Notamacropus eugenii: one gene and its partner. The protein of the gene in region 1 purifies or fractionates together with the protein of each later gene. This does not show direct contact. Links are inferred from orthologs where the notes say so. Each region holds a gene or a part of one and is shown on either strand. Other genes may lie near its edges. The genes, in order: LARP1 and PABPC4.

The links.
Region 2: the proteins of LARP1 (region 1) and PABPC4 purify together in Homo sapiens (affinity purification with mass spectrometry; 3 studies listed by BioGRID and IntAct, with this or other methods). This does not show direct contact. The link is inferred for Notamacropus eugenii from reciprocal best matches to the Homo sapiens genes LARP1 and PABPC4.

Annotation. Positions count from the first base shown.
Region 1 is NC_092872.1:383,102,288-383,118,747, forward strand, and holds the start of LARP1 (la-related protein 1), read left to right. Parts: upstream 1-9,916; 5' UTR 9,917-9,963; coding exon 9,964-10,369; intron 10,370-16,460. UniProt on the Homo sapiens protein: RNA-binding protein that regulates the translation of specific target mRNA species downstream of the mTORC1 complex, in function of growth signals and nutrient availability.
Region 2 is NC_092876.1:79,544,200-79,559,882, reverse strand, and holds the start of PABPC4 (polyadenylate-binding protein 4), read right to left. Parts: upstream 8,208-15,683; 5' UTR 8,064-8,207; coding exon 7,871-8,063; intron 3,994-7,870; coding exon 3,800-3,993; intron 2,723-3,799; coding exon 2,607-2,722; intron 1,248-2,606; coding exon 1,108-1,247; intron 1-1,107.

The DNA of each region.
Region 1 (16,460 bases):
GGAACACCCATCCACTCAAGTAACTTATGTAGGATTATATAAAAAGAATTACTGTGATTCTATCATTATATTATACTTTGTATTCATAGATTCCTATCTCTCAGGAGTTCGAGAACTTTGCAGATTAAAAAAATACATTCTCTATATATGAAATATATGGATATGTTTTGGGAAATATATGTGTAATATAATGAACTGAATTCTATGGTATTGTAAAGCCATGCACTGGCTAACAGAAAAGACAGTCATTTATTAAAGGAACATCAACTTTGCCAGACAAATGCATGGTGATCCCTTCATTTTCCAATATGAGATTCATAAAACTAAAAATATCAGAATTAGAAGGGATCTTAGAACATAACACATAGTGACCTTTGGGCAAGTCAGTTAACCTCTGAAAGTCTCAGTTTTCTTATTTGTAAAATGAGGAGATTGGATTAGCTGATCTCCAAGGTGTCTTCAGCTCCAAATCTATAATCCTATGATTCCATGTTAAAGCTGACAGGGGCCATAAAACCCCAATTTTTTCAAATCATTCCTTTTTCAGAGAAAATTAAGGCCCAGAGAGAAGAAGGGACTTTTCCAATATGATGTCTTCTGATCCCTAGACCCCTATGGTCCCCTCCTTGAAGTCCATTCTCTAGTATTTCTTTGGTTTGTTTTTTTGGATGATATGCCAATATTCCATTGGATCTGTGATCTCACTGACATGGGCACTTTCAAACGAGAAATAGCTCATCCATATCTGCTCATTCTATGTAATAATCCTTGTCTGTATCCTCCCGTAAATATGCCACTGGGGGTTTGGTAATGGGCTGAGGGCCTTACTCTAGATCTGTTGATATTGTATAGATAATAATGTGACAACTAGGCTATCTTTCAATTGTCCCTTTCTCTTGCTATATGACTGGTTCATTTTTTTCTGTCCATACCCTCTTTCTTCTTCTTTAAATTATATTTAATTTTTTTCAATCAACAAAAATCCGCCTTCTCTTTCTCCTCTCCACCAACGCACTCCTGTTTAAGAACAAAATAAATATGAAATCTCTGTTACTGACATATAGAGTCATGCAAAAAAAAAATTCCTACATAGGCTATCTTCAAAAAAATTTGTCTCATTCTTCACTCTGGGTCTTTCACCTCTCAATCAGGAGGTAGATAACATGTTTTATCATGAGTCTTCTGGAATTGTGGTTGGTCATTACACTTATCAGTTGTTGTTGAATAGTGTCTGACTCTTCATGACCCCATGGCCCATAGCATATCAATACTATTCATGGAGTTTTCTTGGCAAAGATACTAGAGTGGTTTGCCATTTCCTTCTCCAACATTGATCAGAGTTCCTAATTATTTCAAAGTTGTTTATCTTTATCATATTATTGTTTGTGTATAAATTGTTCTCCCAATTCTGTTCATCTCACTTGGCATCAGTTCATATAATGTCATATATGACATCCTTTACATCACTACTTCTGTAAAATTCCTCATTCTTAATGTATTGAAACCCTGCTTGCTCCTTAGGGCGATTCTTGACTTCAGTACTTTGGAGCTTTGGTCTTTAGTGTTCCATTATTACCACAACATTATCAGAAGAATAAGGGTATTTTAAAAAAGGTTTTACTTTCAGGGAAAACTGGGGTCTCTAAAAGCACTAGATAATTTTCCAATGATGATCTTATCCATTCTCCTCCTCTTATTCAATTCTAGGCCCAGCTCATTGTCCATTTGTCATTTCTGTGCAAGATATATATGTACAGATGGACAAGTTTTAGAGATTGTCTATCCACATTTATATCATAATCCAGACAAGTCAGTCTTTATAAAAAATAGTATAATTTTTATCTTTGTGTGTCCAGTGCCTAGTATAGTGACCAGCATGTAATAAGCACTTAATCAATGCTTGTTGATTGATTCAATCAATTCAATTAATACCTTCTTTATGTGGTTTTGTTAAAATAATTTTTATTAATGTTTCATTTTTCTATCACCTAAATTTTCCCTGGAATTCCTCCTTTTCAATTTCCTAGACAGCAATCATTTATATTTTTTGTTAATTCAATAAAAAAAAAGTATGTATTAAATCCCAGATATTTTGCTAAGCCTAGAGATAAAAAGAGAAAAGCATGGTCTCCTCTTCAAGGATCTTCCATTGTAATAGAGGAGATAATATAAAACAACTATGTACATACAAGATATTAAAGAGTATAAATGGGAGGTAATCTCAGAGGGAATGTACTAGTAGCATGGAAGGGGATCAGGAAAGGCCTCTTACAGAAAGTGAGCCTTCCCAAAGCCAAGGAAACTAGAAGGAAGAAGTAAGGAGAGAGCATTGCAGGTATGGGGAGCAGAGAATGAAAAGATACAGTCAGGAGTGGAGGGTTTTGTGTAAGAAGGCCAGGGTTGCTAGATTATAGCGTATACACAGGAAAGAAGAGTGTAAGAAGACTGGAAAGGGAGGAAAGGGACAGGTTGTAAACAAACATTTTATCTTTGTGCTAGAGGAAGAAGGGAATCATTGGAGTTTACTGAGTGTGTGGTTGTGTGTGGGTGTGTGACAAGGTTGGACCTCTACTTTAGAAAGATCAGTGGCAGCTGAGTAGAAAATGGACTGGAGTGGAGAGGGACTTGAAACAAGGAAACCAAACAGAAGGTTATTGCAGTTCATGCTCAAGGGGATGAGGGCTAGTATCAGGGTGGTGGCTGTGGGAGAGGAGAGAAATAGAAGAGATGTTGTAAAGGTAGAGACCACAAGATCAGGCAACAGATTAGATATGTGAGTGAGTGGGAGTGAAAAGTCAAGGATGATAGGAGGTTAGGAGCAACAGTGACTGGGAAGATAGGGTGGTGTTGTGCTCTGAAGAGGTGACTTTGGAAGAAGGGAGACTTAGAGGGGAAAGATAAGGAGTTTTGTTTTGGACACGTAAAATTTGAAATAATTCATCGCTGACTGATTGATTTCCTTACTCTGGGGTTCATGTTCTTCAACTCAGCCAACTGTAAAAAGTCCAAGTCTTTTGGCAGAAGGGATCAGTCCTTTAAAAACAGGATATGCAACAGAATGTCCAAACTGGAAGGGACTTTAGAACCTAAACTGTACAGTTAGAAATGACCTTAGTAGGTAGATCATTGAATAGGTAAAGCACTTGTTAGGTACAGAGAATGAGACAACAAAGAGGGGGGGATGATAAGACAGGTCCCAGCCCTCAAAGAACTTGTCTAGTCCTAGCTTCATCTACTAGTTTTTTCCTAGTGTGGCTAGTGAAGTTGAAGTGATTATTAAATTGATTATTTTAATTAATATAATTATAACTTGATTAATATAAATTATTAAATTGATTATTAAATTCATTTGTAACCAGCTAAGTGTAGCAACTTGGAGTCAGGTAGACTCATGTTCATGAGTTCAAATCTAGCCTCAGACACCTACTAGCTGTGTGACTCCGGGCAAGTCACTTCACCCTGTTTGTCTCAGTGGCTCACCCATAAAATGAGCTGGAGAAGGAAATGGCAAACCACCCCAGTATCTTTGCCCAGAAAACCCCAAATGGGGTCATGAAGAGTTGGATACAAGTGAAAAAATAACACAACAATTAATCTCATATAAGAAGTTTTGCAAAATTCCAAAGCTTTATTTAATTAGCACCTGGGGAACTTCATTATCTATAGGGTCTCCCTCTTCAGTGTGAACTCTGCAATGTAAGTCTTCGGTGATAATGGCAAAAACCTCTGCTGGGAAGACCTCACCTTGTTTTATGTTTCACTTGATATTAATAATCAGAGGGTCCCTGAACAAAGTTATTTCTATTTGAACATACAGTATCCATAAAAGCCAAATATTATTTTGGTGGTATTTGTGTTTGCTGACAAATTGCTAGATTCCTAAAGGTGTTCTAATTAGGCATCTGTCCTCATTCATACCATTGTAGACCATTAGAGCTATAAGGGATCCTGGAGATTATCCAGCCCAACCCCAGTGTCTTATTTGCTAACTAAATCTTGAGCTTCTGGTAGATAAGGCCTTCACTGTATTTTGGGTTAGTGCCTAGCTCACATAGTACTGCATATAAGTAGGCAGTTTGATAGATGAATCAATAAATCAGCCAATAACACAGTGTAAGAGAAAGAGCATTGGCCTAGGAACCAAGGGACCTAGGTTGCAATTTTGGTTTGGTGTGATCCTGACCAAATCACTTAACCTCTCTAAGATACAATTTAAACATCTAGTCACATGGTACTCACATCAGTCCTTCATTCAACAAAAATTTATGGAATGTCCACACAATAAGCACTCAGTAAGGATTTGTTGAACAAATCTAAGGTACTGTGACATATTTTGGGAGCTACAAAGTTGTATTAGAGATAATCCTTGTTTTTAGAAGTATTTAGAATCTAATTGAAGGAAATAGGCATACAGATACACATAACTGTGATACAAGGCATACATTTATTATGATACTAACAAATGCTATATCCTTTTACAAAGTGCTCTACATTTCAGAGGAAGAAAAGATAACTTACAGCTGGATCAGGGAAATCTTCACAGAGAATTTGGCATTTGATCTGGGATTCTTTGAATGATGGGTAAAATTTTATAGGTTTTATTATGCACAAATGGGAGACATTTATTCGGTACAGCTGGGCATCATTGTTTTGAGGATCCAATGAGACAACAGACATTAAAGCTGTTAGAAAGGTATAATGTGCTATGGAAACTGATTATTCATCTATAGATAATATGAAGTGGTAGGAATTACATGTTCAATTGTTTTTAGTCATGTTCAACTTTTTGTGGCTCCATTTGGGGTTTTCTTGGCAAAGACACTGGAGTGGTTTGCCATTTTCTTCTCTAGCTCATTTTACAGATGAGGAAACTGAAGCAACCAGGGTTAAGTGACTTGCCAAGGATCACACATAGTAAGTATCTGAGGCTGAATTTGAACTCAGGTCCTCTGAACTCCAGGCCTAGCCCTCTATCAACTGTGCTACCTAGCTGTCCTTGAATTAGTAGAAAAGCTATAGCTTAAAAGTCTACTATTGTTCTTGTTAGACTAAAAGTCTACTATTATAAGTACAGGAAACATGCCCAGGATTCCTGAATTTCCTCATTAGCAGAATAACAGGGCTGGTCTGTATGAGTTCTAAGGCTGTAACCAACTCTCCCATTTCATGTTCTAAGGTCTCTTTCATCCTCATCCCAGACATTGTATGTTCTAATGCATCTCTTCTCACTTGGAGAACAAAATGTTGCTATGACAAGCTAATGAGGATGCTACGTATATGGAGCACACACAGATTCTTTGTACTCCTGCAGACCAGGGCCTGCACATACACATGCAGTTGTTCCACCAATTCACTTTTCAGGAAACCTGTCTGTCCTTTGGCCCCAGGCTAGCACCAAGGAAAGGCAAAATTGAATCTGTTTTTGCCTTTCTTTTTATCTTGCTATGTGACCTTGAACTAACTTATCACTTTACATCCCTCTTGTCCCTAAGTACTCTCATCTGCAAAATAGAGCATCTCCCTTCTTTTGAAGAGCACAGAGAATAACCAGTAATTAGGACTAAAAATCTCTAGGTCAACAATTCCATGCAATTTGCCAGGGGTTTGTGGCTTTGAGAGATAGCATTTCAGTTTAATTCAATTCAAAATGCATTTATTGAGCACCTCTAAGACAAGCTGACTACCCTCAAAAGGAGATTATAATCTAATAGTTAACACAGTTAAGTATAGTATAGTACAAATTAGAATATAATTGTTTAAGAGGAGTATTTGCTTTGAGATCATAAAGTTTTAGTATTGGACACTAGGACACAAAACATACATGACAGAACACCAGAGCTAGAAGGGATCTTAGAACATTAAAAAAAAAACAACTAACAATCAAAAAACCAAAACCCAGAACATTATAGGAGGAAGAGATCTTTGATATTTATTATCAAGCCAACTCATTCGATTTACAAATTAATAAACTGAGGTCCAGGAAGTTAAATTAATTGCCCATAGTAAAATTAATAAGTGGCAGATCCTGAACTCAAACTCATGTCTACCAACTCTAACTCTTTCTGCTACACAAAAAGGTCTCTAATACCTTCTTGCCTCTTTGAGGTCACCCTTTCTGGTGGTGTTATTCAGTCATATCCAACTCTTCTTGACCCTTTTCTGAGCAAAGAGACTGGAGTGGTTTGTCATTTCTTTCTCTGGCTCATTTTACAGATGAGGAAACTGAGGTAAACAGGATGAAGTGACTTGCCCAGGGTCATCCAGCTACTAAGTGTCCAAGGCCAGATTTGAACTCAGGAAGATGAGTCTTCCTAACTCCAGGCCCAGTCCTCTATCCACTTCCGACACCTAGTTGCTTGTTTCTGGGGCTCCTAAAACATCTTACAGATCTAGTAGCACATGAGATCTGTAAAGCAGACATACATACATCTTTATATCTATCTATCCATATACATACACATATCTAACTTATCTGATACAGCAGAAATGGTACCAGACATGGATTCATGAGATTTGCAATCGCTAATCTGACCTTTGTGTCATTCTAGTTTTATGACCTTATTCAAATCACTTCTCTGAGCTTGTTTCTTCATCTGTAAAATGGGGGTGGCAATACTCACATTACACACCCTGGATGATTGTATAGAACAAAGGAGATAACATACTCATTTCCACGGTGTTGTGGAAATGTAGGCTTTTATTATTAATCAAATCAAAGCTGTGCAGTGCCTTATACATAAAGATGACAAGACAAATGTTTTTGAGTGATTCTGAGCAAATAATTTAGGTCCTTCTTATTACAGAATGGAGTATCGAAAAGGATAGAGTGCTGGGCCTGAAGTCAGGAAGACTCATCTTTGAGTTCAAATCTGACCTAAAACTAGTAGTGTAACCCTGGGTAAGTCACTTAACCCTATTTTCCTGAAGAGAAGGAAATAGCAAACTATGCTAGTAGCTTTGCCAAGAAAATCCCAAATGGGGCCTCAAAGAATAGGGCATGACTGAAATGATTCAACAACAGCAAATATATTAATTAGACAAAATTCTAGGTTTCTCTTACAAACTGAACACCATTAATTTCACATCAAGATCCCTGGATTTGGAGTGAAAACATCTGGATTTAAATGCCAGCTTTGCTACTTACTAGCTGTGTGAGCGATACACACACAAACATATGTAAGTATAATGTATATAACGTATAATGTATAGCATATATAAATATGATACAAAAACATATATGTTCATTAGGGTTCATAAATGTTCACTAATGCTGTTCTAGACTAGAGGAGTCAGTAAAGGCCTTCAGAAAGGAACCAGTGTTTGGTTTTAAGTATCTCAAAAGAGTAGGAAGAAATGCAGCTGGTGAAAAAGGTGCTAGAATGGACTTCCAGGCATATGGAACTTCAGTAAGAAAACTTAGGCTGTTTGGGAAGGACTAAGAATAGTCCGTCTTGGCTGGAGCAAAGCATAAGGTAAATGTCCTGAAAAATTCGGAGGGCCCACAATGTAGAACAATAATACCTCGTATTGATATATTACTTTAAGGTTTGCAAAGCATTTTACAAATCATTTCTCGTTTGCTTCTCCCAATAACCTTGGGAGGTCGGTGTCATTATTAGTTCCAATTTGCAGATGAGAAAACTAAAGCAAAGACAAATGACATGTCCAGAGTCACACAACCAATAAGTGTCTGAGGTCTAATTTGAACTAGGGCCTTCCTGTCCCCAGGCCTCTGCTCTATCCATTTACATCACCAAATACTTCAAATAAGGTTCTTCATGCCAGCAAAGGTATATGAATTGTACTCAGAAGGCAATAGAGGCCACTGGACATTTTATACTGTTGATAGAATAATTTTGCTTTGGGTAGGTGCAGCTGAATCACTATTGACCAAAATTGTTCCAGCGGCCCTTGACTGCTTTCTGAGTAAAGGCCATGTCCCTTTGCCTAGCATTCAAGGCTCTCAGCAATCTGGAACCACACCATCTTTAAGTGACACCATGACTTCTTTCTGTACTGTTATAGTCAGATCCCAGGACTTAGCAACCTTGTATTTTTCCACTTTCTTGCCCATGCCTAGCTTATCCTTCCTCCTTTCCACTGGTGAATTTCTAGCCATCCTTCAAAGCACAACTCAATTACTCTGCATGAAGCCTTCCTTGATCCCAGTAACTATTTTTCCCAGATCTCAAAAGGGCACTGCTTTGCCCCTTTCTTTTGTATTTATCTCATTGCTATCTGTGCTTTTATCTCTCGACTTCCTATTCAACAGCCAATTGCACAGGGGGCTAGACACAGTGTGTCTTAATTACTCTCGGCACCCTCCGTGCCTAGCTCAGTGTTCTGCAAGTAAGTAGATGGTACAATTATTCAGGCTTCCATATGCCAAGGCAGCTTCCTAGCTGCGCAGTCCATGTTGTAAGGTCTCTTCCTGTACTGATTTTCTGCGGCATGCTCTGCTTTTTAAAGGGCATGTCCCCTTTCCCCAAAGATGTGGATTTCCTCTAGCCGGCTGAACTGACGATCAAGAACAATTCTGTAGAGAACGAGAACCTGGTCATTCCCTTGGCTTAGATGATCAGAAGCAGAGAGCATCGCGCTGGCCCACGTGGGTTAGCATTCAAATCTCCCTTCCAAAGGGCACAGGAAGGGCCCTCCCTCCCCGGGGCCCGTTCCCCTGCCCCCGCAGGGTAAGGTCCGTGGCACCAGCAGCCAAGAGGCTGACCTCCGTTGGCTTCCCAAGCGCTTTAACGGAATTCCTCTTCCCTTGGGTCCGTGCTAGCGCAGAAAGCTGCGCGGAGGTTAAGGCACGTGGGGGCAAAGTGGCTCTCCAAGGTCACCAGGCTGGGCAGGGAAGGCCAGGAGCTCTGGGTTTGGGAACGGGGGGAACCCTGCCAGGCCCAAGCAAATTAAGCCAGCAGAGCTCCTGTGAGCCCGGGTGGCGTTCATCAGCACTCTTCCTTCGCAGTTCCATCTTCCACCAACGGCTCTACGGTCCCCCGCCTAAAAAACGAAAGCAAGCCGGCACTGCCGCCGCATGGCCCCAGCTCCATGTGCTCCACCTGCGGCCTTGCTTCCCCAGGCGGGCCCTTTAAGAGAGCCCCGCCCCGCCCCGGCTTCCCCCGCACCCCCTCCCTCCTGCGCTCCCCCTCTCCTTCCACCTTTCCGAATTGCATCAGGCACGTGCTCGCCCCCGTCCCGTCGGAGCCCTCCCCTTCTCCCCACACCCCCACTAGGGAACAGGAGCAGAAAGACTTGGGGGGAGGGAAGGGAGAGAAGGGGGTGGGGACGGAGTCGGGAGTGAGGGGAAGCGAAGCCGTGCGCGCGCGCTCCTCGCCCCCGGTCCCAGGGGCCGGGCCACGGCGCGCGCGCCCCCGCCACCCCGTCCCCGTCCCCGACCGCATCCCCTCCCCTCCCGTCCCAGAGACGCCGCGTTGCGAAGCGCGCCCCCGCCGATCGCGTGGTCTGCTCCTCTCCGCTCCGCTCTCCCCTTCCATATTGCTGCAGCCCAGAGCGGGGAGCCCGGGCTGCCCCCGGGGGGGAAGAGGAGAGGGAGAGGAGTGGGAGAGGCAGCGACTAGAGCCCCCAGGCCTTGAGGGGTGGGGGTGGTGGGGGGAACCTACGACCCCGGGCGAGGAGGCAAGAGAGGGGTTCCCCCCCCCCGCCCCGGCACCGCCGCCGCCGCTCAGGGCCTGGGCTTCTCGGCTGCTCCCTCCGACGGGGAGGGAGGGAGGGGGCCGCGCCCGGCTGTTCGGCTCGAGTCCCCCCTCCCCCAGCACTCCCTTCCTGCTCCGGTCCCCAGGGACTGTGAGGGGGGCAGCCCCTTGAGACAGCCTTCCCAGAGGGGAGAGCGGCCAGGCCGAGCAGCTTCAGGAAAGTTTGAGGCGGCGGCGGGCGAGAGGGGTGGGGGCGAGGCTGCCGCGGCGCCGGCGGGGGCTTCGGTTCGGGGGGGCGGGCGCTCCCATGGCCACCGAGGTGGAGTCGCTCCCGCCCGGCAACCCCCTCCTTCAGGCCGAGGAGCACGGCGGGCTGGTGATGAAGCAGCCGCCGCCGCCGCCGCAGCAGACGCCGCAGCCCGAGGGGAAGGGAGAGCCTCTGGACTGCGGCGACGAAGGCTCCCGGCCCCCTCGGCCGCTCGGCTCGGCCAAGCCTCCCCGGGACGACGGCCCCCCAGCCGAGAGGGAGAGCCTGCAGCTGCCGCCGCCGCCGCCGCCGCCCCGGGGCGAGAGTGACGGCGGCAGCGGCAGCGAGGAGGGCGGCGAGCCGGGCCGCCGGGAGTTCGTCGAGGCCCCCCCGCCCAAGGTGAATCCGTGGACGAAAAACGCGGGCCCGACGGCCTTGGTCACCGTGAACGGACAGTCCCCGCCAGGTGGGTGCCTGCTTCCTCTCTTTCTCGGGTCGTGCTTCCTCGCCGCGCGCGGCCGCAGCGTGGGGGGGGGGGGGGGCGGAGCGGGGACTCCATCATGATTCTCTCTTCCCGGAGGGTCTTGGCAGCCGCCAGCCTCCGGGGTCCTCCCGGGGAGATGGCGCAGGCCCCGGGCGTCTCCCCGGGCTTTGTAGTGGTCCAGGGCCGGACGAGGGCAGGACGGAGCGGCCTTGCCGGGGCCGCAGCAGCTGGCGCGGCGGCGGCGAGGAGCAGGCCTCGAGCCCCGAGGAAAACTACTTTTCTGGTGCCTATGGCCCTTTTCCTCTTCTCGTTCGCCGTCGCCCCACTGAACACTGCCGGCCTGCGGGGGGAGGGAGAAAGAAGAGATTCTCCTGAACCCCGCACCCCAGTTGTCGAGCGTTGCAGCATTGATTGTATTGTAAGCGTGCCCTGGGCAGAACGAGCCGAGTTTAGAGCTACAAATATGGATTCTGGATTTCAAAGTTGTAGAGTGTTTGGTCTCTGGGTTGGTGGATAAGACGACCCCCGACCCGTGCCCTCCTTGGGGGGGATGGGGGGGATTGGAAAAAGCCAACTCTACGTGTCATTGAGGTTATGGTGAGGCACGTGTGTGTGTGTGTGTGTGTGTGTGTGTGTGTGTGTGTGTGTGTGTGATTACTTCAGAGGCTCAGATACGTAATTTTTATAGGCTCTTCTTGGGGCTGGGTCGTGACATACAGAAATATCCTGCCGGGGAGCCGGACTGGAGGGGCGTGGAAATGTGGAGGGGTGGGGTGTGCGTTGGGGGGAGGTGGCGGAGGGCAGTGAAAGTGGGGGCCCTGCCGGGCGGTGCCGGGGTGAGTGACAGGTCGGCGACCGCGGGGCGGCCACGCGGGGCTCGGAGGGATTCGAGGCCCAGTTGCAGGGTTCGATTTTAGAAGGCCGGGCCGGGCGAGGGTGGGGGTGTGTGTGTGTGTGTGTGTGTCTCTCTGTCTCTGTGTGTCTCTGTCTGTCTCAGTGAGCTTCCTCCCCTTCCCAGCATTCCACTGCAGTAAAGACAACGTGGTTTCTCTGCTCTCGCTGCCTGTCTGCCTGCCTGTCGAAAGCTGCATGTGATCGGGGCCAACATCCCCTTGGCTCAGCCCGTCGCTTGTGCCCTCCCCTCATCTCCCCCAGCCTTTGGGGTGGGGTCTCCTCTCCCCACTAGACCGCAGTTAGGAACCGAATTCCGTGAGCTGGGCTGCTGTGTCCCAAGAGGGAAGGAAAAGGGAGGACTGGGCCTGTGCTGGACCAGAAGCTCATGGCCTCGATTTTCACCTTCACCCTCTCCCCCGGGGTGCCTGAGCCGTCCCATTTCGTTTTGGGTTTTTTCCCCCTGGCTCACAACCTATTTAAACAGAGCAGGGTCACTCAGTATTGTATTCTGCTTGGTTCAGAAATGGTGACTGGAAGGGCAGGGACTTACCTCCCACCCCCTTAGTCTTCCTGGCTCTCTCCCATCTAGGATGGTGATAATTCTCCCCTGTTCATAAATCTAGAACAGAAAGTTGAGGGGAAGACCTTAGGGCCTCAGGGAAGTCAAATGGTAGGAGGTAAAAAGCATGCCCTCCTTCAGCTGGCATGAGGCCTTGGCCTGGAGGAAACTGAAAAGCCAGCCCTTAGATCAGAATGTTGCAATGACATTTCTCTTAAGGTTGCTTCATTGGAGGAGGGTTCATTTGGGATTTACTAACAATACCTCAAACTGTGTTTAACCCCCTCCCTTTACAGAGTTTGCTCTTATGCAAAAGGTATTTGGAAACCTCCATTTTCTTTAAGATCATCTCTACCCAGGGGATGAGAGAGAGGGACCTTAAGAGGTTTGGACACATTAAGGTGAAAAGAGATCTAAATGGACTCTCAGAAAGATCACTGAAGGAAAGGGGAATGGTTGGTAGCCATGTGCATCAGACTCCAGGTTGTTTAATGGTGAGGCTGCTTTCTGGATTTTAGATCCCAGTGTGCAACGTCAGATGGCCTACAGGTGCATGTGCTGGCATTTTGTGAAAGCTGATGCCCTCTGAAATGGTGCGTCATCACCATTGTTGACATGGGAAATGTTCGGCCTGGCTCTGGCTTTTCCCCTAACAAGGGGGAAAATAGACATTCCTTTCAAACCAAATCTTGGTCAGATGGGTTTCTGAGCTGTTACCTCTGTCATTGGAATCCCAGTTGTAGTACTGTAGCACTAGTGGAAGCAGTGACACTACTGCAAAATCCTGTCTTTACGCAGAGACAGTTCACTCAGCTTAAAACTAAAACCTTGTTTGGATGCAAAATACCTCCTGGAACCTGGGATTGAGTGGTTTTGAAAATTCTATATTTTGTAGGAGAAAGAAAATGTGATTTGGGTTGGTAGGTAGTATATACCCTTTTTTTTTTTTTTGCATACATGATGTGGTAGACATAGAATAAGAAGATCTGAGTTCAAGCCCTGGCTTTCTTGCCTGTGATAGCTGCGGTACTAGAATTAAATAAAACCCTCTAATCTGAGTTTTATCTGTAAATGTGGAGAATAATATTTGTCTTTCTTGGGGCATGGAGTAGTTGTGAAGAAGGTACTTTGTAAACTGCACTCATGTTGCTCTCAGAATATACTGCCTTGTCTCTCTTTGGTCACATAGGTAATAAGCAGCATATTTTAAGGAAAAAGATGGAGTTCTGGGGTTCTAATTCTGCTGTGTTTCTGACCCACTGTGTCCTTGGGCAAGTCACTGGATGTCTCTGGGCTTGTTTTCCTGAGTTTTTATTAGGATTGGATTTGATTGATTTCTGAGGTGTCCTTCAGACCTAACGCTGATAGAATTTAAATGCAGTTTCATAGATTATTGGGTAAGTTACTGCATTAATACCATTTTCATGTTCTGGCTTTTTGGAAGCTGCAGAACAGAATGCAGACTTGAAGCTGCAAACTTTCCAAAGCTTGCTGTAGAAGCCTGTTTTTATTCACTGGTTTGGCTCTGGTAGTATTTTTGAGGGTACATGCACCCTAAGGAGTAATGAAACATGCTTTAAGGTCAAATACCTGTCTGCAGTTTACTTTCCCATGTAACTGTATCCAGGTTCATTTAAATGTGTAAACTCACCATTATTCACTTTAACTTCTAAAGAGTTGTATTTCTACATCATTTCCTTTACATGAAAAGAAGGAAACCTAGGTTTGAACTTCTGATCCATCACTAACTGCCTTATGACCTTGGGCCAGTCACTTCTCTTCTGGAATCTTTCCTCATGTGTGAAATCAAAGTATACTATCTAAATAAACCTTAAAAATCCTAACACTTAGTTCTGTGAATATTCATTGAAATAGGAAGTGAATTTAGAAGATTGTACCCTAGAAAATAAAATCTGGTCTTGGTTTAACCATCCAAACAGAGGATATGGTTCAGATAACCCAAAGAATTAACTTATTTGGCCTTTGAATCTGTAAAAATAAAGCAATTGACAGTAAATTATTTCTAACATCCTCAATTCTTAGATTTTCTGTTCCAAGTTTTCTTTAGTTCTGACATCTTAAGTACCTTTCCAGTTCTAATGCTTTATTAATATGTGTTCTTAAAGTTGATTTAATTATCTTATACTTAGTAGCCTAGTATCAAAATTAGATTTTGTTCCCTCTCCACGTGCCAAGTTGTGGAGATTCAGAGGGTACTTTGGCGGAATAGAAGAAAGCCAGGCTGAAATTGAGACCTTTCCATGCATATGTTACAGTGACTCCCTATATAGTTAATTTTTGAGAATCCACAGGTGCATCTAGAGACCTTACCTCCGTTCCTCATAATAATTTACAATGTGTATGGTAACACATTGCTTTCCTAAGATGGAGTGTTGTAGCGAAATTGCCTAGTACTATTCCTTTTTTGTAGTTTTCTGTGGTTTACATACTATATCCTAAATGGAACATGAATCTAGATTGGATTACAGCCTCAGCTAAAACTTTTACCCCCTAGTCTAACAAACTCCTCCCCCCTCAAAAAAAAATCTGGACAGCTCCTCTTTTCCCATTTCCCAGAGGTAGGAAATATGATTTTAAACATAACCTCCAATTGTGGTTTAGAAGGCATCAGCTGAACTCATCTCTACTATTGGATTTGGTGCTAAGTTTATGGTAGTCCTTACTCCAAGGATCCATTTAATACCTGGAAACGTTTTGTATGTTTTAGGTGGGTTTTGGTGACTTGACAACATTGCGATATTTGTGTGTGTGTGTGTGTGTGTGTATGTATGTAAATGTGTATATTTGGTATGAACAGGGAGCTGGAACTCCTAATGAGGAATCTTTTGCCAAATGCTGTATTCTGAGCTGTCTTTTCCTCTTTTTACCTTGTCTTCTTCCCCATCCCCAATAAAGCAAAAAGCAGTTGGACTGTAAGATGGCTCAGAAGGCTTCAACCTCATGACAATCTCTCTCTAAGCTCATTTCACATCACCTTGCTAAGGTGGTACAGAATTGGAGAATATTAGAATTATGAGTTTGAAGATCTGAGTTCTAGTTTTGACTCTACTGTAACTCATTGATGTGACCCTGGACAAGTCATTTATCAGCTCTTTGACACTGCCTACCTCTTCAAGTCAAGCTGGACTATTCAAAATCCCCAGAAGACACCTGGTGTTTTCCTGCCTCCCAACCTTACCATTCTTTACCAAGCTCACATGCCCCTTCTTCCATGAAGCTTTCTCTAGTGAATCACAGGATTGTAAATTGCTAACTAGAAACATTTATGGTAAGCTTTACCGAGGTCATCTGGTCTAGTCCTCTCATTTTACACATAATGGGAACTGAGGCCTGGATGTTTTAAGTGACTTGACCTGTGTAAGGTAATGTTACAGAGCTAGGATTTAAAGTCAAGTCTTCTGAATTCAAACATAGTTTTTTCTATACTGCACTGACTAAATCAGAAGAACAATGTGTATGAATCCCACGGTAATATAAGGGGAGACAAGATTGAAAGACTTCAGAATTATGATCAGTGTAGAAAGCAGTCATAAGTTCAGGGGACTGATGGTGAGGCAGGCTTCCTGCCTTTTGGTAGAGAGGTGGTAGACTTCAGGAATGAAATGAAGTATACATTTTTTAGGCATGTCCATTGTTCTTGTTTTGGTTTATATTTAATTTGTTGCAAGGGAAGCATTAGGAAATGATAGATGTAAAAAAAAAAAAAAAGGAAAAGCAAAAATGAAACCTTTAAAAAGGAGGTATAAAACCTTCCCTCATCCCTCCCTTGCCTGCCCCAGGTAGCAGTTTGTGTACCTCTCCTAATTTTGTTTTGGATTCTTATTTAATATATTTATCTAATCTTTGAATCTCCCCCCAACATTAGAGTACCTTCTCTGCACAGAGTAGGTACTTAATAAAATGTTTAAATTGAAGTGGTTGGGCTCATCTCATAATATCTCTTTAATAATTCTAAAAATTGGTAATTTGCTACTTTCTAATCTGTGAAGAGATTGTGTAGTTAAACTTAGTTTGAAATTGGGTATTAGGAAAATAATTTCTATGTGTGAACTTAGTCCAGTTGAAGGAAATCTTTGGCCAGTGTTAACATGTGTGAATTTTGACCAGTCAGTGAATCTGCATACCAACGGGTTCTTTGTTGTATTGGGGTTGGGAGAAGCACTGATTAGGATTACCAGCATTTCATTTGTGATGGTGAACTGTAGTCACTGGAGTTTTTTCTTCTTTATTCCTACCCCTGATAGATCACATTTGTGATATTTTAGGTAGGAGTAAACATTTTACTGTTGCTGTCCTTTAATATCATATCAGTGAATCTGAGCCACAGTGTGTGTAATGAAAAATCGGATTAGAGTCTGGTTCTACTTCCCAACTCTGTCACCTATTGCTTCAGATACCTTGGACAAGTCGTGCTATTTTTGAGCTTTGGTGTCTTTTTAAGCTGTAACATGGAGTCAGACTCTGACCTGCTAAAGTCTCTGCCAGTTTGGAGAATGTGATTTTGTGCTCTTTAAAAAGCCAAGTAAGTAATTCTGGGGGTTATCTACTATATAAAGAATTTAATTTTTTTTAAACCTCAAAACCAGTGTTTGGGGAGGG
Region 2 (15,683 bases), on another chromosome or scaffold:
ATTTAACTGCTCACACCTTTCACCCATGCGTGACAGCAAGCAAAACAGGATCTCATGCTGCTTTTGTTTTAGTATAATCAAGTACCTCTGATTGAATCTTGCCTTTATCAATCAAGAGTCTTTACTAGGAGTAGGTATATGTATTTGTATTATTAATTACTTTAATGTGATTAAAGATCTTCCCCTCACCCATTAACAGGCCTGCCCATTAAGGGGAGTTTGATTAGGGAAGATGAGTGGGAAGGCCCTTGCCTTTTGTTAATGAGGCACTGGTTTCTCAAGGGTTGTGACTTGTCTATCTTTGATTTCTCTGAATTTTCTTTGAAGTTCAGGGTGCTGATTCCCCTGAATTAGGTGAATGATATATGTGCTTGGTTAAAGGAATAATACATGAGCTTGATTAAAGTGATGTTAACCCCTCTAAAGTTGCCTTTCCTTTTATGAATGCAGATCTGAGAACCTGTGATAGCAGGGCCCCCTGGGTATGTTGGGTTGCTTACTGACACACCACAATATTAGTTAAAAAAAAAAAAAAGATGAAAATTCAATATTAGCAAGGCTAAGGAACTGTTGTGGGACAGCAGACTTGGTACAAAACATGAACACATCCTTGGATCTAGTAATCCCACTGCTAGGACTTTAAATATCACAAAAAAGGAAATAGAGCAAAATACTGGAAACATTTTATGTGACAGGTAAAATTTAGCAAAATATAACATATAAAAGAATTAGTGATTATGAGACCTTAGGAAATAGGGACTAGAAGGAGAAGGGACTTTTATGAAGTGGTAAGAGTCAGAGGAGCAGAACTGGTCAGAATAAATATCACACAAAAGTGAGAAAGGCATAGACACAAGACAAGGCCTTTTGTTTTGATCTTTGTTAAAACGGAACATATTTATGGATTCAGATTTCATTTAATTTCTTAATTTGAATACTTGAGTTTGTTATGTTTACGTTTTTAATAAAAAAGCACAAAGGAAAAAGAAAGAGTCTAGTCAGCCTTCTTCTTGTAATGAGATTTTGGTCCTGCCTTCAAACCTTCTCATTGCAGACAAGCCCTGCATGGGGTCAAACACAGACCTCACACTCTAATCATAGACTTACCGTATTTGCTGAAAAGTTCCTTCAATCTTTCGTCATCCATGTCATCTCCAAAGTTTTTGATATAAACGTTGGTGAATTCCTTAGCTTTGGCACCCAGTTCTGCTTCCCGTTCTTTCCTTGACTTGAATCTACCAACAAACCTAGAAAGTGAAAAAGGAAATCATTCTGCCAGTGGCAAGTGCCTGATTCAGCGGGTCGCTGCCAGGTATCAATCAGTCTGCACTGGCAGACAAGTCACACAATGATAGTGGCAAGCCTTGGTGTCCCATCAACCTTTATAGCAACAGGGGACACAGCCAGGCTCAGAAAAGTCACCAACAGAACACAACACAACCTGACCCACCTGTCAACTGCACCACAAACCTTTGACTCCATGGGCCAGCACCATCTATCCATACACCCTCCCTACCTGCTATCCCACCAATACCCTCCCCTCCACGCCCATCTCACCAGACAGCAACAACACCTAATTACAGAATGCAAATCTTTAGGGACCCCAGATAGCATTCCCATTTTCATAAAAGAATCATATAAACTGAGGTCCACAAAAGGAAAGTGACTTCTCTGATGGTACCAACGTGACTAATGACAAAGCCAAGTTTTCTAGCTCATTCTACTACACCACAGAGCCAGGGGCCAAGATTATTACCACTACATTTTTAAAAATGTTCCCTTTTATACTTCTTAAATATGTGGAAAACAACCATTTGGGGGAGGAGGGTGCGTTGCTCCTCAGACAGATATATACGTTGCTCCTCAGACAGATATATATGCCAGTTCTCAGTTCATTTGTGTTTCCCACCCTTCTACCCCACCAGGTGTGTGCGAGATGACATGGATGTTCTTATTCATTACAGTCCCAGCTTGGACCTTTTCTTTGCATTTGATATAAACATTAGTGAAGTGCCTGCCCCTTCCTCCTCATCCCTTTGCTTTTAACAGAACATCTCCACCCTAAAATGACCACTCCAAAGTGAGGTCTTTGCTTACAAGACCAACTCCTACAATACAGGGACTGGTGAACACACTTGATTTGTGAGGTTTCAGTTAAAAAAGATTCATTGCAACTAGGCCAGAACTCTTCTTACGATAAAAAGGCCAAGAGCCATAATGTGTAAACAGCCTGAACTTACAGAAAGAGGCATTATTTTCATTAAAAACAAGAATCTGTTTTAAATACACATTTGTGTGTATTTAAAAGTGACCAAAATGGTTCAAGACATCAACATAAACCCAATTCAGAGTGAGCTCAGGGCCCTCATCTAGCCATCCTCTCGTTTTCAGGAGAGGAGAGGCCCACTGATCCCTGTAAGGGAGAGGTAGCAGGCTAAGGCTTGGGCAAGGAGCCCGCCTTGGGCAGGGAGACTCACCAGCCCTGTAGTGGAGAGGTAGGAGGCCACGGCTTGGGCCGAGAGCAACAGTAGCCTTGTGTGTCCCTGTTAATACTGAGATGCACCACGGTTCATGCGATGGTTGTTGCTTCTGGCTGAGACACTCACACTTTTCGGTCGTTGAGAAGCATGCCGTTCATCTTCTCGATGGCCCTATCTGCGGCATCCTGGGTCTCAAAGTGCACAAATGCGTAGCCTTTAGAACCATTCTCATCACACACCACCTAAAAAATACAGGTACCAAATCAGTTACTGCCTTAATTCAACTAACACGGAAGTCCTTAACACAAAGATACCTGTGACCCTTTAAGAGTTTACAGTCTGAGGATGCAGGGATAGAGAAGGTGATAATGTGAGCGTAAGGAAGAGGCAGCAATGCAGCCTCAGGGAGGGCTGTACAAAAGTCAAGATGTTGGTAACTGACTGCATTAAGACGAGGTTAAACATGTAGACAAGAGCTACCTTGTAAGTGCTATTAACTGTCTGTGGAGAGCGTGAATTTTATTTAGAAGTCAATCAGGAGCCTGGGAAGGACTCAGTGTTAAGAGTGGACTATCCCAGGGCTATATTAGATTATCTGAGAAGGTGTGTGAAACAATGACTAGAAGGGAGAAGCCAGAAAGCCAGTCTACAGGGGGATTTGTATCTGTGGGTGAGCTGATATGGGGATGGAGAAGAACTGAAGGACTCTGATGCCATGATCCTTTGAGAATTCAGAGAAATGGAAATGCTCCTTTATTGGGCATTTGTTAAGTTTTATATAAAAACAGTAAAACTGAAGGACCAAAAGTGAACAGAAGTTAGGGAGAAGGCCCAAGCTGGGAGAGGAGGCCTGGAGAAAAGAGTAATTTTCTCTGAGCTGAGCTCAAGGCCTGCAGGATCCAAGTCCATGCAAAGGGCTCTACTGGCTGTGGCCAATGCTTTATCCTTCTTGTATCCCAGGCAGTCTGGGGACCTCTCCTTGCCTTAGACTGTCAGGGTTACCATAAAGAATTACCATTGTATACATCCAGTATTTAATCCTTCTCTCCTTAGATCCATCTAACTGTCAAAGTCATTACCACTACCCTCAGTCTGCCTAAAGACGGCAGACCAGGTCTTCTGACTCCCAGGTGCAGAGTTCTTTTTCATCTAGACAGTGTCTCTTCAAAGACAGACTTGGGAAATTAAGAGTCAGGTTTCTCTAGCCTTTTGAGAAACTTTTAAATTTCATTACACTGCCCTACCATCCCTACTTTTTTTTTTTTTAAATAAAAATTAAAGTTAAGTTCAACTTTGCCTTGGGAATAACCACTACTTACCTTGCAGGACAAGATGTTTCCAAATGCTGAAAAGGTGTCATAAAGTGCCTTGTTGTCTATGGATTTATCCAGGTTTTTAATGAAAACATTCCCAACTCCTGATTTCCTCAATGACGGATCCCGCTGAGACCACATGATACGGATGGGTTTGCCTTTAATTACATCAAAGTTCATGGTATCCAGGGCACGTTCAGCTAGGAAGGAAGAGAGGAGATCCGAGAAAGGACTAAGTGAAAAGGAAGGTTAACTAGTTGGAAACATGGCCATTAGACCAGTCTGTTTTGGAACACCATGACTATTACCGGGTTAGAGGTTCTTAATTAATTTGAAGAAGGGGTCCCTAGGCTTCAGGCTGCCAAGAGGGTCCAAGACACAAAAACATTCCTATTCAATAACGTCCTTGCTAACTTATTGTCCATCTTACCCTAAAGTTATTTCAGAAATCTCATTGGATGGCCTGCTTTTCTGATTAGGAAAGCATCAACAAATTAAGACTAAAAAACTTCAGAGTGATGGTTCTCCAGTAACAGGACCTGGGTAACCCTGCTTTCCCTTTTATAAATGAAGTCAGACTAGGTACTCCTGAGGGTCCTTCCATCTCCATGTCACAGATAATGAAAGAAGCTTCAGGACCCCCTCAAATTCCTGAGGCCTTTTTCAGGCTCATGCTCATTCCCAAGCCAGTCACAACTACCTCCAACTTGTTTCCTCATCTATAGAACTGGACCTAGCTCATCAATCTTCCTAAGGATCCAGTGAGATAGTACGTAAAACACCTCACAAATCTTACAGCTCAGACTTGCTCCACTTTCTAGAGGATCCTCAGACACTTGACGTTCCTTCCACCTCCCAATACCCCTCATTTTTATTTATTGGAAAATTGAGGGCTGTACAACTCCTAATTTTGAAGACTATGCCAGGCATGCAGAACATTGAGACAGTATAGTCCAGGGGATATACAGCAGGATGGGGAGCCTCCCACTGATGCCAGAGCTGGTTTGTGTGGCCTTGATCAGGTGGCCTCCTTGCTCTAGTCCTAGGCAGATAAAATCTTTACAAGCTGCAGAGGTACTGATCTGCACTGCCTGAGTTTCATCCCAATAGCAATGACATCGGAGGGCCCAATAGGACCAAATGAGTTTAGGGAACTCTCCCTAAAGTATCTCTAAAATGGGCAACAAAAGCCAATTAGAATTTTCTCCACTTAAAAGTGGGGAGTGAAGACAAATACACACAAAATCTGGGGCTGATGCTGGGCTAGATATGTACTTAGCCTAAATGCCCAATTTTCTACATCTAGTCCTGGACAATGAGAACATCTGAGCTGGTAAGTCTGAAGAAAAATTCCATTATGTTCTCTATACATTTTAGAAAACACATACCCCAAGTTGCTTTAGGTTTCACAGGGAGAAGAGGCTTGGTAAAGGCACAACTCTGACTAGCTAGAGACTGGGCAAAGTCACTTCTCAGTCTTCAGGAGACTAGTAAAGGGCACTACTGAAGGTATAACAAACACAAGCCTCAACTATCACTAACACAATGACTGACTCCCCTTATTCTCCAGGCACTCTGGCTAATAAAGGTTTTCCTGGGCAAAGAATCAATTTTGATTCTGATCTGACAGCCACAACATAGTTCTTTCTTCAGTACTAGTTCAAGTTAGATCCACACTGTCCCCATTCAATCAGTGTGTCTTCAGAGTATCAAGTTTATTTCAGATAGTTTGAAAATTTCCAGCCAAGAACGTCTCCAATTACAGACACTAAAGTGATCAGAAACCAAATTATCTTATTTTGATTGTTTCAGTTTCTTTCACCAAAAAATCAGACATGCACATTTCCAGTTCTCAAAACCCCTGAATAATCAGTGGGTGCACTTCCAAATTAGTGCTGTGGCCCTAAAAATGCTGAATTCACCATTCATCCCAATGCCATGGTCTAAAAATGCTACTAAGTTCAGAACAGACTCATACTCATTTGCAAACACATATTAAGCAAGGAGGAAAAGGTTTATTTTGCTTTAAAAGTCCTATCTGTCAATTCATCAGCTTTGAATATAAAAACAAGGTCCAAATTATATAAAATTTATCCTTTGCTCCAAAATTACTGACATCTGCTAAGAAAAATTACATTCTCTACCCAATGGTTGCAAAATCCCTACAGGTTCCATTTACGCTGGAGTGGCGTTAGGGACAAACAGAAAAATGAAAATAAAAATGTGTGCAGGAGGGGCAGAAAAAGTCCTGAAGCTCTATTATATATTTGTATTTAGTAATACAATCCCTAGTATAATGTGGGCAACTAATGTAATTGGCACCAAGGGATTTCATTTCAATGATATAAATCAATAACTTTGTAAAACAGAGTTTCAAGAAGGCACTTCTAAAGACAACTCAGTCCAAGTGGGCAGTATTTATTTATAGCAGGGAGAGGACCTGCCCAAGTATGCCTTGGCAAAGACGCAAACCAATAGCTTATGTTATCTGCAACTGAACAGTACTTTTGTTCAAAGGTGACAGGCAGTCTGCAGCTAACACATGTACCAAAGAGAGCATTATTTCCCCTAAAAAGGCCATGTTTAGCCTCTTAGCACTATTTTCCCCAATGTTGTGTGTTTGTACTGGTAGGGTTTAAAATCACACTGTGTTCAAAAAAAGACTACATCTCACTACTGATTAGAGCCCTAAATGAGAAGGCAAAAGCCTGGGTTCTATTTCTACTGTCTTACTCTGACCTTGAATAACTAACATTCTCTGGGCCTCAGGCTCCCAACTGGCTAACTAGGGATATCAGTAACTGAGAACTTGGGAGAGTGCGCTTTCTTGTTGCCAAAGGGACTGATAGGAATTTTAGACTTTCCTTACCTCAAGTTTTAAAACAGTTGCTCAAATAATTTTGGTTTTGTATTATTGCTAATACAACTTTTATAATGTTAAGAACTAGGTCACCTAGTCCAAAGATATCCATTTATAGATAATTCTCTATGGCTACAAAATGCTTTCATATACCCTCTTTCATCTGATGCCCTAAGGTAGGATATAATATTCCCACAGTTTAGGAAACTTGAGACCTGGAGGTTAAGCTAGTGAGTGGCTGGGCTGGGACTGCCCCCAGAGCTGCTACCATCGTGCTTTTCTAGATGATGCTCCATTCCTCCAGACACCCACTGGACAGACAACACCAGCCTTGAGGCATTCTCTCAGAAAGGCTGACCTGCGGACTGTCCCTTTTACCCACCGGGTGAGAGAAAGTGTGGAAGAATTTGGACAACTACCAGTTAACAAACAGGTTACTTCCCCCCTCTGCATAAGAGTTTTTCTGTTCCTGTGTCCAAGACGACGGAAGCTAATTGTGTTCAACTGGTTACACATGTGCCCCAGAAAGGGGGAAGGGGTGTGTGTGCAACCCAAGATGCAGATGGAAATTTTAATCAGCAAAATGGCTGCACCTTCTCCTTACTTCTTTGATTATCGGCAGTTCAAGACCACTGGTTACTTCGCGCTCTCCAAGTGCTCGAGTGCCAGGGTCAGCGTGGGATGGTTCAGTTTCGTTCAAGCATGGTGGACGGGTCAGAAACCCGGCTACTCCTAATCCAGACCTCACTCCCTTGTACTCCATGGCCCACTGAGTCTCAGAACCGGGTAAATCCTCTAGAACGCAGTGGGACTGCACAAGAAGCGCTTGACCAGTGCCACCAAGGGTTTTTAACACAAGTACACAGGGAGGACCCGGTGAGTAACGCTCGGAGCGCTCCACCGCCGGGATGCCAACAGTGCGCGCTACAGACATCACCCTAGCCATGAAGAACCGGGCTCAGGTCTCCCGACTCCAGTCAGCACTGCGGTCACCTACCTGTTAGTTAAACTGCGTTCAATCGTTCGGGCGGCTTTGGGGGAAGCCCCCTGGCACAGTGGAAAGCCTGGGCTCCCAGTCCCCTAACCTCTGAGCCTCCCCAGCTCGGCTGGAACACGACAGCCTTCCTCACCTTACCGACCTGCAAGGGCCTGAAACGAACGCGACTCCCAACAAGCCGCACGGGCGGGCGCCCCGCGGGTCCCCCCGCCACACTCACCATCGGCCGGCTGCTGGAAGTTGACGTAGGCATAGCCCAGGGAGCGCCTGGTGATCATGTCCCTGCAGACCCGGATGGAGAGCACGGGTCCGGCCGGGCTGAACTTCTCGTACAGCATGGCTTCGGTGACGTCCGAGTGCAGGTCACCCACGTACAGGGAGGCCATGGGGTAACTGCTGGCCGCAGTGTTCATCTCCCCGCCCCCCAGCACCCCGAGCCCCGCCAGGAGGACCTCCTTCTGGAACCCAGGCAAGGAGAAAGAGACAAGACTTTTAAATCGCGGCCGGGGCCGGACCTGGGCGGCAGGCGAGGGCCGGGCGGCGGGGCCTCGGGGCCTCGGGCGGCCGCCGTCACGGGGCCCGGCGCTCCGGGCGGGCACCAGGCGCGGCCCTTCCCTCCCAGGACAGCCGGCCCGGCTCGGCTCGGGGCACGCCGCGGTCCGAGGACGCTTCCCGCGGCAGCGGAGCGGAGGCCGGCCCGGGAGCAGCAGCCGCGGCGGCGGCACGCGGGGGAGAAGCCACGTGGGAGAGCGCGGCGGCCCGCGGACGTGGGGAAGGCGCGGAGGGAGGGGGCCGGCACAGGCTCAAGGACACGTGGGGGCCGGGAGGAAAGCGGGGGGCCCGGGCCGGCCACGTGGGGGCCCGGGCGGAACGGAGGAGGAACACGCGGGAGCCGCACACGTGGGGGCCGGGCACGGACGGGCAGAAGAGGACGGCGACGCGCGGGGGCGGGGGCCGGACACGCGGTACCGGAGCGCGGACGGACGGAAGCCACACGCGGGGGCAGGACACGCGGCGGGTGGGCGGAGCGGGGCAAAGGTCTCCTCTCGGCGCCGGGGCTCTCACACCAAGCCCCCGATCCGGCGGCAGCGGTCTCCGCGCGCGTCCGCGTCCGCGTCCGTTCTTCTGCTTTCACTTGGAGGGATTCTTTTTTTTTAGGTATTTTTTTTTAGGGGGGGGGGGGTGGGAGGCCGCGAAGCGCCGAACCTAGGGGCAGGAGCGGAGAGAGAGACAGCCGCGAGGCCGCCGCGCCCCATTTATACCCCCGCCCCGGGAGCGCCGCCGGTCAAAGGGCACGGCGCGCCCCGGGCGGCGCCGTCCGGCCCGCCCCGGCCCAGCCCAGCGCGGCGCAGCGCGGCGCAGCGCAACGCAGCCCCGGCGGCGCGTGCGACCGAGGAGAGCGAGCCTGAGAGCGCGCGAGAGCGGGCGAGAGCCGGCGAGGCGACGAGACAGGCGCGCGGCGGGCCAGAGCGCCCCCCAGCCCCGGAGGACCCGTGCGCCGCGGCCTCCCCTGCCCCGCCCCCACCCTCGCCGCCCGCCTCGCTCTGCGCCGCCGCACGCGGCCGCGGTGGAGGGGGCGGGGCGGGGCCGTTGAAAGACCGTTGGCCAGGCGACGGTTACGGCCCCCTGCTTGGGACGGCCCTCTCCTGGACGTTCTGGACGTCCGAGCCGTCCAAACCTTGCACGTTCATCTGTTAAGTCCTCGTGCAGCTGACTTTGAGCGCCTACTGTATACCGCTTGTCCACGTTCGTTTATTAGGGGCCTGCGCCCGAGACCGAGATGGCGGGTCACCCTTTACTGCGCCCGGAGGCCCGGGTTCCAGTGCCCCAGCCCCTCTCCTCTCGGCGCCCCAAGAAGGTCAAGCCTCCAGCGGTCGGCAGACGTGTGTTAGTTACCTGCTGTATGTCAGGCACTGCCCCAAGTCCAGCGGCTCACAGCCGCTGTGTGCAGCGAGCGGGAGATGAGGGGGAGGCCGCCGGGGGCCTCGGGCTCTCCCTCTGGACGACGGGGAGACGAGATGAAATGGCTTCGGGAAGCGCCTCCTTGGGCCGTGCGGGGGGCGCCGGGCCGGGCGGCCGCGGTGGGGGGGGGAGAGACCCGGGCGGCCGCGGTGGGGGGGGAGAGACCCGGGCGGCCGCGGTGGGGGGCGGGAGACCCGGGAGACCCGGGCGGCCGCGGTGGGGGGCGGGAGAGACCCGGGCGGCCGCGGTGGGGGGGGAAGAGACCCGGGCGGCCGCGGTGGGGGGCGGGAGAGACCCGGGCGGCCGCGGTGGGGGGGGAAGAGACCCGGGCGGCCGCGGTGGGGGGGGAGAGACCCGGGCGGCCGCGGTGGGGGGCGGGAGAGACCCGGGCGGCCGCGGTGGGGGGGGAAGAGACCCGGGCGGCCGCGGTGGGGGGCGGGAGAGACCCGGGCGGCCGCGGTGGGGGGCGGGAGACCCGGGCGGCCGCGGTGGGGGGGGAAGAGACCCGGGCGGCCGCGGTGGGGGGCGGGAGACCCGGGCGGCCGCGGTGGGGGGCGGGAGAGACCCGGGCGGCCGCGGTGGGGGGCGGGAGAGACCCGGGCGGCCGCGGTGGGGGGGGAAGAGACCCGGGCGGCCGCGGTGGGGGGGGAAGAGACCCGGGCGGCCGCGGTGGGGGGGGAAGAGACCCGGGCGGCCGCGGTGGGGGGGGAAGAGACCCGGGCGGCCGCGGTGGGGGGCGGGAGAGACCCGGGCGGCCGCGGTGGGGGGGGAGAGACCCGGGCGGCCGCGGTGGGGGGGGAAGAGACCCGGGCGGCCGCGGTGGGGGGCGGGAGAGACCCGGGCGGCCGCGGTGGGGGGCGGGAGAGACCCGGGCGGCCGCGGTGGGGGGCGGGAGACCCGGGCGGCCGCGGTGGGGGGCGGGAGAGACCCGGGCGGCCGCGGTGGGGGGCGGGAGAGACCCGGGCGGCCGCGGTGGGGGGCGGGAGACCCGGGCGGCCGCGGTGGGGGGCGGGAGAGACCCGGGCGGCCGCGGTGGGGGGGGGGCGCGGCCTACAGTTCGGGGGTGGCACCAGGCCCCGCCGCCGGCCCGAGCGGTCAGGTCCAGAGCGCCCCGAGTCCGCAGAGCTGGCCCTCCCCGGCCTGCCCGTGCCACCTCCCGACCTAGCCGGTGGCATATGCGTGTAGTGTGCGTGTGTGCCCGCATGTAGACGCAGCTGCACTCCTCTGTGTGTTAGACTTTTAGGCTGGATTGTGTGATTATGTCTCATGTACATACAGGCATCATTCCTGAGTTCAAGTCCAGCCTAGCCACGCGGTCCCGGACAAGTCAGGGAACCCCAGTGACGTCATCGGTCCGCCGGCCTTCAGGGGGTTGTGCGTTCGGAATGAGTCCATTTCGTATATATCTAGGCATATATTACGTAACTGATGCATGTGGATACATATAATCACATGCGCGGGGATGCTGAAGATGTTTACACGGCATTCCTGCTTTCCTCCCTCATTGAGCTGCCAGCCTCAGGGGCTCAACGGGCATGGTTTCCTTTCTCGTGCCTGGCACGGGATCTGGTACATAGTGGGTGTTTAATGAATACCTTGTGGGTGGATGTGCCAGAGGCTGGGAAGGTCTCAGCAGCCAAAGTGCTGCCTGTCCTCTGGGGCTACACAGTGTCCTCCAGGTGTGGACTTGGCTTCTTAAGGTGCACAAAGGCCTTTGGCAGCCTTAGGGAGTCATTGCTGAGACTTCGAGGTGGATGAAAAGCCAAGTCCAACCCTGAGACCTAGCGGCACGAAAGGACTTGCTTAAAGCCACACAGCCCGCTGAGTGGCACCTCCAGACTCCAGATACAGGGCTCTTTCCATGATACCAACGTTCTCAGAGTATGGGGGGTCGCCTGATTCCCTCCTAGAGCATTCTCAAGGTCAAAAGTATTGTCCTACTAAGATGTCATTAATCTACTCAAATAATCACCTTCCTTCCCCTGCATTTCCCATTCAAGATCAGTTGCCATGTGGAGTTTGGTCTTCACTTTGCCTCTTGCATCTTATGGCCATCTCTCCACTCTCAAGCCCTCAGCCTTCCCACTGGGCCATGATACTGGCCTCAACTGGTCTCCCTAGTTCAGTTTGGCATGTAGCAGCCAAAATAATGTTCCTGAGCTGTGGCACCAAAATCCTGAGAGGCTCTGGAGGTAAAGCCTAGGATAAAAGACTCCTTGGGCTGGGTCTGTGATTCAGTCCCCTCCAGGACCTTGCTCCTACCTACGCTTCTGGCTTCATTTCCCCACTGGTGCCTTCATTTACTCTGAATTCTGACCATACTGGACCACTAGCCCTTCCCCAAATTTGATGCGTTTGTCTCACGCCTCTGTGCATTTGTGAGAGCTATTCCCATGGTGGGAAGGTACTCCTCCAGAGAGGCTTTCCCCTTGGTCTTCCAGAACCCTCCTCGTTTTTCCAAGGTTCAGCCCAGACATGGCCTCTTTTGGCAAATCTTTCCCAATCTCCCGTTGGCTGAAAGAGCCGTTCTGGCCTTCACATCTTCCGAAAGGTTTGTGTTTGGATCTTTCTTTTTCCATTATGTCCCACTTTGTGGAATGTCAGCTTCCTGAAGGAAGGAATTGTATCACTTTCCCTGTAACCCTAGGGTCTCCCATAGTGCCTTGCACATAGAGGGTGTTTAATAAAAGCTTATGACACTTTTGGAAATGAGAAGGGAAGGGGGCCAGATTAAGGAGGCCCTGGTAACAACTCTGCTCTGTTTTGTATGTGGGAATGTTAATTTTATTTGGTTCATTTCAGAATTAAAAATAAAGAAAAACTTTAAAAAGTAGCTTAGGCTCAGAAGCTGCTTCTCCAAACCTTACTTGGCATTGGCACTGATCCTTAGAGTGCCTATATCTTGCCCTGTCAAGGTTCTAGAGGTAACTGAGGGGCTGAATGAGGTGATTCTCCTAATACTGGAGATACTGGTCTCCCTGCCAGTATGTACCCACCCAGCATCACTTGGCCAGCTCTCTCTGCAATGTTATCTAATCAGTGATTAGATCAAATACTGGGACTCAGAGTCAAGAAGGTGAGTTCAAGTCCAGTCTTAAGATACTTACCTAGCTATGTGACCCTAGACAAGTCACTTAACCTGTGTACCTGAGTTTCTTCACCATTCAGAGGGGATAATCAAAATACTAGCTTTCCAGGATTGTTGTAAAGATCAAATGAAGTCATATTGTAAAGCACTTTGTAAATCTTAAAAGCCATATAAATGCTATCAGTGAATCAATTAACATTTATTAAGAACCTGTGCTAATAGGTAGTAGTATCATTAGGGCCGTGTTCCCTGGATGATGCCACCTTACTTCCCCGTCCTTCTTCCTCTTTTCTCGTTGCCCCCTTCTCCCATTGGAGAGCTCCTTTCTAAAACTTCATTTGGAGGAAAAGCCAGAGCAGCTAATCCATGACTGAGGATTTCACTAACAAGTTCTCCCCCTAGTGCCTTCCCCTCCCCTTCCCTAAACTTTTCTGCGGTCCGCTCACATTTTAATGTAAACTGCTTGAGTACAGGGACTTCATTTTTGCCTTGTCTTTGTGCCCCCAGTATAGCCCGGAGCCTGGCACTTATTAAGCTCTTAATAAATGCTTTTTGGCTTGACTTAAATATTAATTCATTCTAAATTCTCCTCAATATTATTGATAACCAGTTAAAATTCACTTTAACAAAGAGATGTTTACTGGAAACAAAAAGTGAGACCCCAATAACAAAAAGGTATCCCACAACTAGAGCAGTCTCAGTCTGGAAAGAGAGTGGACTCCAATGTAAATTGACTGCCACAAACACTCCTCCACCATCAGTGAAACGCAGCCGAGAGCTGATTCTCTCCCTTCCGGGAAGGACTTGACATCTCAGGTGCTGGTCTAGCCACGGTTACTCCTCAGAGCTGGATCTTTTCCAGCCTCAACTGCTGACCTGGCAGACCCCGCTATGGACTCCAGATGCTGGATCTCCCCCATAAAGCCCAGTCGCTGAGCCTCTACTACAGTTAGGGGGTCAGAAGGTTTTGACCTGGTCACTCTTGTTACGTCCCCAGTTCTTCCTCATCTACAAAACAAACACGAACCAAAGAAACAAAAGGTTCCAGGTGTTGGGGGTGGAGAGTGGGAGAAGCATTGAGGGAGGGAGCCTGAGGCCTTTCTCCCCACCTGGAGGTGTATACAAGTTCTTCCTCCACTACACCCGACAGCCATGTGGGAAGAAAGAGAAATTCTGTAACTTGGTGCCTTTTGTCTTGACTCATTTCCAGCACTACAGTCGGTTCACAGACCCAGCGTCCAAATGCCGTAAGCAGATAAGAAACTATCAATCCATTTCTCCACAGCTGTCCAAGTGACATTCCTAAAGCAGAGGTTTGATCACATCACCCACCTCAGAAAGGAACAGTGGCTCCCTATTGCCTCTAGAGTAAAGCAAAATTCCTCTGACATTTACCTCAAGTCCATAGTAATCTGGCCCCAACATATCTTTCCAGATTGATTCCAAATTACTGTACTTTGTGTATTCTCTTTAATGCAAACTGACCTTCTTTCTATTCCCTGCACATAATATCTCATTTCCCACCTCCATGCCTTTGCATAAAACTGTGTGGAAGCATAGTGAAAACTGCCTTCTGAGTTTATCTGGAAATTTCTTTCAAGTGCCCTTTTCAGACTTTTGGAAAGGAAAATGTTGGGGGCACAGGTGGGACAGCTCTCGAGTCAGGAGGACCTGAGTTCAAATGTGACCTGAGACTCTTACTATCTGTGTGACCCTAGGCAAGTCACTAAACCCCAACTGCCTCTTAAAAAAAAAAGAAAGAAGGGTGGTGTTAGGGTGAGATAAACGAACAAAAATTTTTTATTAGAAAATAAACTGACCTTTACAATCCTGCCTTTTTCTCTTCACTCCCCCTCCCCTTTCCAGCCAGAAGCAATTGATTATAGATAAATCTAAAGACCTTACCTGAGGACTAGCACCAGCCCACCTGCTCTCTTCAGAGGCAAAGGATTAAGATAAAAATGATTGGGACGACGTCTCTGTTTAACTCCCAGAGCAAAGGAGGGGAGTGGTCAGTAAGGAATGGGATAGAGACTTGGGTGCTCAATTCTGGAATGTTAACCCAGACTATGTTTTGAGATAAATTTTCCTAGTTTAAGATTCTTATAAATACTACCTGAAGTCTTCTTGGCAGAGTCACAGCAGAGGTCATGGAGAACATCTCTTTCCAAGCTAGAAATGTCTTAGATTAAATTAGTATTATAGATGAAGTTTAATTAAATAAAATTGTTTTTGGCTGATCTGAACCTAAACCATGTGTCTGGTATCAGTCTTAATTCTTCCACAGCTGTCAACCCCATTCCTGGCATGCTTTTCCTCATCACTTTCTCTTTTTTTTATTCTTAATTTTAAAAAATTTTTATTTTCAGTTCCAAAATCTCTCCCTCTCCCCCCACCCATTGAGAAGGCAAGAAACACATTCTCATTATACACAGGAAATCATGCAAAGTATTTCCATAGTAGCCATGTTGGGGAAGGAAAAGCAAGAAAAATGAAGTGCAAAAAACCCTGTCTTTCCCTCCCCCCCCAAAAAACTTTTTGAAGGTAAGGACTGTTTCATTAGTACCCCTGTCTCCAGAGCCTGGCACCATATTCCACACATAGCAGGTGCTTAAAAAAAGAATTTTGTTTTACAAGTTTTTGTGTTATATGTTAATAGATAGTATTTAAATAGCACTTTCAGGAAACACCTTACAAATATCTCCTTTGATCCTTATAACAACCCTAGCCTTGGTCAAGTGACTTGCCCAGGTTTGTGGCTAGTGAGTGTCTGAAGCTAGATTTGAACTCAGGTCTTTCTGACTTCCAAAGTGAGTGCTCTAACCACTGAGCTACATAATACCCCAAGGTAGCATTGTCCTACTAGACTCCACACTAAATTATCTAAACTTTGCACCCCTCCCTGCCCCAAGCCCCAGCTGTGAGCACACGTCATCATAGGCTCAACAAAGGTGGGACTGCATAAGTAATTGAAAGGAAAAAG